Linked DNA regions of Macaca fascicularis. The protein of the gene in region 1 purifies or fractionates together with the protein of each later gene. This does not show direct contact. Links are inferred from orthologs where the notes say so. Each region holds a gene or a part of one and is shown on either strand. Other genes may lie near its edges. The genes, in order: L3MBTL1 and ANAPC1.

Evidence for each region.
Region 2: the proteins of L3MBTL1 (region 1) and ANAPC1 purify together in Homo sapiens (affinity purification with mass spectrometry; 4 studies listed by BioGRID and IntAct, counting the BioPlex papers as one, with this or other methods). This does not show direct contact. The link is inferred for Macaca fascicularis from reciprocal best matches to the Homo sapiens genes L3MBTL1 and ANAPC1.

The regions. Positions count from the first base shown.
Region 1 is NC_088384.1:99,589,354-99,593,964, forward strand, and holds the start of L3MBTL1 (lethal(3)malignant brain tumor-like protein 1), read left to right. Parts: upstream 1-1,768; 5' UTR 1,769-1,835; coding exon 1,836-1,993; intron 1,994-2,952; coding exon 2,953-3,098; intron 3,099-3,296; coding exon 3,297-3,520; intron 3,521-3,821; exon of another isoform or gene 3,822-4,043; coding exon 4,044-4,185; intron 4,186-4,417; coding exon 4,418-4,568; intron 4,569-4,611. UniProt on the Homo sapiens protein: Polycomb group (PcG) protein that specifically recognizes and binds mono- and dimethyllysine residues on target proteins, thereby acting as a 'reader' of a network of post-translational modifications.
Region 2 is NC_088387.1:18,810,419-18,813,087, reverse strand, and holds part of ANAPC1 (anaphase-promoting complex subunit 1), read left to right. Parts: intron 1-1,566; coding exon 1,567-1,701; intron 1,702-2,669. UniProt on the Homo sapiens protein: Component of the anaphase promoting complex/cyclosome (APC/C), a cell cycle-regulated E3 ubiquitin ligase that controls progression through mitosis and the G1 phase of the cell cycle.

The DNA.
Region 1 (4,611 bases):
CTGCAACTTCCACCTCCTGGGTTCAAGCAATTCTCCTGCCTCAGCCTCCCAAGTAGCTGGGATTACAGGCGCCTGCCCCCACGCCCAGCTAATTTTTTGTATTTTTAGTAGCAATGGGGTTTCACCATGTTGGTCCAGCTGGTCTCGAACTCCTGACCTCAGGTGATGTACCTGCCTCGGCTTCCCAAAGTGCTGGGATTACAGGTGTGAGCCCCTGCACCCAGCTAATTTTTTTTTTTTCTTTAGAGACAGGGTCTCGCTCTGTCACCTAGACCAGAGTACAGTGGTGAGATCATGGCTCACTGCAGCCTTGACCTCCCAGGCTCAAGTAATCCTCCTGCTCAGCCTCTGGAGTAGCTGGGACTACAGGCATATACTACAACACCTGGCTAATTTTTATTTTTTTAATTTTTTATAGAGACAGGGTCTCCCTGTGTTGCCTAGGCTGGTCTTGAGCTCTTGGGCTCAAGCAGTCCTCCCACCTCAGCCTCCAAAGTGCTGGGATTACAGGTGTGAGCCACTGCATTGGACCCATACAGTGTTTTGTTTGCTTTTGTTTTTTGAGATGGAGTCTTGCTCTGTCTCCCAGGCTGGAGTACAGTGGCATGATCTCGGCTCACTGCAACCTCCACCCTCCACCTCCCAGGTTCAAGCGATTCTCCTGCCCCAGCCTCCCCAGTAGCTGGGATTACAGGCACATGCCACCAAGCTGGCCCCATACACTGTTTTTTATTAACAAGTTCAAGTTACTGAAATCCAACACAAGTACTTATTAAGCACCTACTATGTGCCACGTACGAAGTGTTGGGGATATAGCAATGAACAAGACAGACAGTCAGCATTTATGTGGAGATGACTGATCAAACACAGAAATAAATGAAGATCACTTTTGATTATAATGAAGGATGAGAAAGAAAGAAATATATAATAGTAATGAGACAGCTAGTGGTGGGAAGGGGTGAGGGGTATGCTGCTGCTTTAAATTCCTTGGTCAGGCCGGGCTCGATGGCTCACGCCTATAAACCCAGCACTTTGGGAGACCGAGGTGGGCAGATCACCTGAGGTCAGGAGTTTCAGACCAACCTGGCCAACATGGTGAAACCCCGTCTCTACTAAAAATACAAAAATTAGCCAGGCTATGTGGTGTGTACCTGTAATCCCACCTAGTCAGGAGGCTGAGGTAGGAGAATTGCTTGAACCCTGGAGGCAGAGGTTGCAGTGAGCCGAGATGGTACCACTGCACTCCAGCCTGGGCAACAGAGCGAGACTCCATCTCAAAAAAAAAAAAAAATTACTTGGTAAGGAAAGACCTCTTCTGAGGAGGTGACTATTGAATTGAGGACTGGAGGATGGGAAGGAGCCAGTTAAGCAGAGAGCTTGGGGAAGGGCGTTCCAGGGGTAGGGAACAGCAAGGGCAAAGGCTGTGAGTGGGAATGTTGGTCAAGCAATAGAAGGAAACCAGAGTCTGTTGACTGGAGAGAACAGGGGAAGAATGGCATAGGATGAGGCCAGAGGGAAAAGCAGAGGTCAGATTTTCTAGGGCAAAGCACTTTGATTTTACTCTAAGGGCAACAGAGAGCCATTGAAGAATTTAGATAGGGAAATTATGTGATTTGGTTTATGTTTTTAAAGTTTTTCTTACTGGGGAGTAGACTGTAGGGGTGCAGGAAAGGAAGCAGGGAAATGGGCTAGAAGGCAATTTCAGAAGTCCAAAGAGAGCTGCTATTGGCTGGGACCAGCATGGCAGCAGTCGAGATGGAGAGAAGTGGTTAGACCTTCAGTGTGTTTTGGAGGTAGCACTGACAGGCCAAGCTGTGCTGTCCAATACAGTAGTCATGGCTACTGTCGCTATTTATTTTCTTATTTATTCTCAGAGACAGGGTCTCGCTATGTTGCCCAAGCTAGCCTCAGACTCCTGGGCTTCAGCCATCCTCCTGGGTCAGCCTCCAGAGAACTTGGGACTACAGGCATGCACCACTGTAACTACCTTCTGGTAACTTTTAAATTTCACTAAAATAAAATAAAATAAAAAATTCAGTTCCTCAGTCATAGTAGCCCATTTCAAGTGCTCAGTAGCCACATGTGGCTAGTGGCTACTGTGTTGGACAGTTTAGGTATTGGACAGTCTCATGATCACAGAAAATTCTACTGGACAGTGCTGGTAAGGCAAGTAGGGCAGTGGTGAGTATATTTTAGGTGCTGAGTAAATAGATATTAAGTATATTCTTTGTATCTCTAGGTCTTTTTCTTTATGTTTTTACCTGTTGAATGAACTCTATGAAATGCCTCTACTGCCTTTGCATTATTAAAACAAAATCACGTACTGACTTGACTGCATTTTCGTACACTACGTCTTTGCTCTTCAGATGCGTACATGTGTTCAGCAGATATCTGAGTGCCCACCCTGTGCTTGGGGTTGGAGGGAGTGGTGGACAGGGCCATAAAAGAACATGATCAGGAAAGATCCCACCTCCCAGGAAGATGATCCCTGTGTGGGTGAAGGAATACCTGGTATTTGAGGTCTCTGAATCCCCAGAGGGAGGAGGGAGTGATTCTAGTGGGGATAGAGGTGGGGTCAAGGAAAAGGTGAGTTTGGATGTGGCCTGGGCTGTGTCCTGGAGACAACTGGCCAGACAGAACCTTGACCCGAGTCATGCTCCCCAGAGTCAGTGCTGTACATCACAGTTTACAAAGTACCCTCACACATGCCACCCTACCCATCCTTACCATCCTTACAGAGACTGGGGAGGTGCAGGGCCTGGCCAGAACAGGAGCCAGACCTGATGCTGGTCTTGAAGACACCCTACTCCCCACAGGACTGAGGCCTTTCTCTGCAGGTTACGGGTTTGAAGGTGGCCAGCTTCTCAAAGAAGCCCCATCCCTTCACATCTCCATTGCTTCTGTAACAGAGGTCCCCACCTGATCACCCTGGGGGCTGTGTTTGGCTTGTAGGCCTGCCAGGATGGAGGGGCATGCTGAAATGGAGATGCTGAGGACACTGAAGGGGCCTTCCACAGGGGAGGTCAGCGTGCACTTGGTGGCCAGAGACAGCCCCGGTTCTGGTCCTCACCTGCCCGCAACTGCCTTTATCATTCCAGGTGAGTCAAGCTAGGGTAGGAGTCTGGGGAGGAAGAGCATCTCTGTACTTGCACAAGCAAGTGTGGATCCTGGAGAGGGGATGACTGTTTTCACTCTCCTCCACCTGTCTTCCTTCACATGCCTACACATGCGTGGCAGGATTGAGGCAGGGCCACTAGACTCACCCGTGTCGTGTCTATTTGTGTATCTGTTTACAGCCAGCTCGGCCAACCTCGGCCTGCCCAGCAGTGCCCTGGATGTGTCTTGCTTTCCCCGGGAGCCAATCCATGTGGGTACCCCGGAGCAAGTGGCCGGCAGCGAACCGGTTCCTGCCACTGTCCTGCCGCAGCTTAGTGCCGGGCCGGCCAGCTCCAGCACCAGCACAGTGCGGATTCTGGAATGGACAGAGGCCGCGGCCCCGCCCCCTGGGGGCGGCCTGCGGGTCAGTGTCTGTGGGGATTGGCTAAACCTCGTAAACCACAGCCATGGGGCGGGGCTTGCGGGCCCGGAGGCCGGACCTGAGGCGGAAGCGGGGGAAGCTGGCTAAAATGATGGGCACTAGGGGTGGGCTTTGAGTGAGGGACTCTAGGGGCGTGGCTTGAGTTGAAGCACTCCTAGGCCCTGGGGACTATGGGGGCGTCGCTTGGAGTGAGGCACTCTGGGACTGGGCCTGTGGGTGTCTGGGGGTGTGGCTTAGAGTGGGGCACTCTGACTGGGCCTGTGGTAGTTTGGGGGCGTGGCTTAGAGTGGGGCACCGGGGGACTGGACCCTGCAGGTGCTTGGGGGCGTAGCCTGGAGTGAGGGTTTGGCTGGTATAGCTTGGAGTGAGGTGCCCTGGCATGGAGTCTTGAGGCCTGCTGAGGGCGTGAGCTGGCATGAGGCGACGAGAGGGCCATGGCCCCGACGCCGAGGTGGGTCAAGGGCCCGTACGGGAGTCGCAATCCTCAGACCCTCCCGCGCTCCAGTTCCGGATAAGCGAGTACAAGCCGCTGAACATGGCGGGAGTGGAGCAGCCCCCGAGCCCCGAGCTGCGGCAGGAAGGCGTGACCGAATACGAAGATGGCGGGGCCCCTGCTGGAGATGGCGAGGCGGGCCCCCTACAAGCGGGTAGGAGCCCCGCTCCCCAGGCCCTGAGCTGGGCCCTGTGCGGGTGGGGTGAGGCCTGAGCCCCAGGAGGACCGGGGGCGGGGCCCAGGGTGGTCCTGGGGTGGAGAAGGCTGGAGGAGGCCATCCGATGCGGAGATGGACTGAGGCGGAGGCAGGGTCTGTGGGGGCGTGGGCGGAGCCTGAGTGTGGCTGCAATGGGGCGGGAGGCCTGAGGCCCATTTGGCCCCCGCAGAGGACCACCCCCAGAATCCTCCAGAAGATCCCAATCAGGACCCCCCAGAGGATGATAGCACCTGTCAGTGCCAGGCGTGCGGGCCTCACAAAGCCGCGGGTCCAGATCTTGGTTCCTCTAATGATGGCTGCCCTCAGCTGTTCCAGGAGCGGTAAGGGGAGGAGGTCGCAGCCCTACTCGCTCTGCCTTCAGCC
Region 2 (2,669 bases), on another chromosome or scaffold:
CCTGGACCACTGTTATAGCCTCCTAAATAGCCTCCTTGCTTTTTCTCATCTCCATTCTAATAATCTCAAGTTAACTGACAGAACAGTCTTTTAAAGAATGAACTGATCTAACACTCCTGCTTAAAGCTTTTCAAAGACTCCTGATTCAGCTATGAAAGAAATCCCTACTGTGTGGCACCAGGACCTGTGTGACCTGCAAGGCACCTGTTTTCCTCAACAAAGCCTCTTTTACACCACTTGCTCCTCACACCACGCTGGCCTCTTCTACTTCCTCAAAAACACTGAGCTCCTTTTCACTGTGGGGCCATTGAATATGCTGTTTTCCCTCCCTAGAAGCTTTTCCTCTCATTCTTCACCTGTCCAACTCATATTTATCCTTGCAGCCTCAGTTTTAATGACCTTGCCTCCAGGCCCTCCAAGACCACTCTACCTCAGGCAGCTTTCCTGCCATCTATTGCCTGCCCGCTCATGCTCTCAACTTTTTTTCTGCATCTAAATGCCTTTGTTTGCAAGTAACAGAAGACCTGACGTAAGCTGTCTTTAAACAGTGAGGACACAAATATGCTTATGTCATTAGAAGTCCACAGGTAGGGCATGTAAAGGGTCATCTTATTCCATTGTCTTCAACTCCGTTTCTCTGAGGTTCCATCAGCTACATTCTGTGCCATGACTTTATCCTCAGTGCTTTTTTTGGATGGTAATAAAATGGCTATAACATGTTCACCTCTAGCTCAGCATGATGCCCAGAGGAAGAAGAAGAGTTGCTTCTAGGAGCTTTGTGATGAGAATGAGGGGATTTCTTTCCCTGGAGCCTCCAGCAAGCATGTCATTAAGTACCTCCTCAGGTTTCTGGCTCTGAGTTGCATCTCATGCACACCCTCAATCTATCCCTGTGGCAGAGACTGTCTCTTATTGAAAAAATGGCCTGGGTCTGCCTGTCTCTGAACTAACACTGTATCAGGGGAATGGGATTGCCTTGATCACCCAAGACCGGTGATTCTCAAAGTGTGGTTCGTGGAGCAGCATGACCTGGGAACTTGTTAGAAATGGAGTTTTTCTGGCCCTACCGCAGACCTACTGAATCAGAAACTCTGTGCTCTGTGCTCTGTGTGGGGAGTGGGGCCCACTCATCTGTGATTTAACAAGCCCTCCAGGGGATTGTGATACATGGGAAAGCTTGAGAACCGCTGGCCAAGACTAATAAGGATCTAGTTCTGGAGCTGAAGTCTGTCCCATCAAATATTCTAATACATGGTGGAGGGTGGGGTGTGAAGGGGTATTTTGGGGAGACAACCACAGTGACCACTGCACCTTTATAGCACTCTCACAGTTCATAATTATGCATTTGTTTGTGTCATTATTTGTGTAATATCTGTCTTCCCCAACAACACTCTAAACTCTACAATGACAGGGACTCAGTCTAGCTTGTCACCGTAGCCTCAGTACTCAGTACCAGCTGTAGAACCTGCTTATAAATTCTTGATGAAAAAGTAATAGAAAGAAGATATTTCTTGTGCCTCTCAGTTCTGTCATCAGTTGGTTCAGTTCCATTTGTTTCTCTCGCAGCCGGGGGTGATATGTGTGTGCACGCCTACCTCAGCGGGCAGCCCTTGGAGGAATCGCAGCTGAGCATGCTGGCCTGCTTCCTCGTCTACCACTCTGTGCCAGCTCCACGGCACCTGCCGCCTATAGGACTAGAAGGTAATCGCATATCTGAGTCCTCTCTTCGGTACCTCTGTTACCTACCCCTTTATGTTCTAGTTTCTTGGTAGGAAGAGTTTCTAATTAGTTATTGTCCCTAGTTTGACTTTCCTCTTCATTAATGTTGCAGTGTCATTGCTAGGAACTGTTTTGGAGCAAAAAAGAAAAAAATTATCAACTTTTTACATGAATAACTTTCATTTTTATTCAGAAAAGGATGGATTCTTCTTCACAGAGCCCCAAACACTGGTCTAAAAATTTTTTTTAGTATATACTAAAATATATACAAAAAAAATTTTTTTTGAGAAAGGCAGAGATTGTTCCATTTAATCATTTAAACTTGAAGTTTAATTACATTACTAGTTTTTTTGCTGTTTTGAAAGCCTCTGATAAAAGTTTACTATCTAGGGACTTCTAGTTATGGCCATGATGGAATTGCTTGTATTGGACTCACTTGCCCTCCAAAACAAGTATAAAAGCTAAAAAACCAAAAACCAAAAAACAAAAAACAAAAACATAAGAAAAGGGAAGTACAACAGGGAGAGCTTTCTGTTCACTCTAGCTTCTCCCCCAAAGGCATTTGCCAGTTCATAGCACAAGAAGTAGAGTCCCAGCAAAAGGCAGCAGTGCTGCAGGGCTGAGGAGCCAGAGGCTGGGTTTGTGATTGTCCAAGAGCCTAGAACTTGAGGAACAAAATCGCAGGCAGGAGAGAACAATAGGAATCATAACTCAAAATCTGGATGTACCTTTCCCTTGAGTTACTTACGACATTTTAGCCTTCATATATATGGGGTAAGACTTCAAGAGATCTAGCAGAAGCCACAAGGCCAAAAATGTAAGCAAAAGTGTCTGCAGCAGCATAGGACCGAGGAGACAAAGGGTGGAATTCAAGACTTGTTGAAGTGAAGTGGCTCTGATCAGCATCCCAGCTCCTCAGGTGAATTAATAGCTTGGCCAGGCCCTAAGCC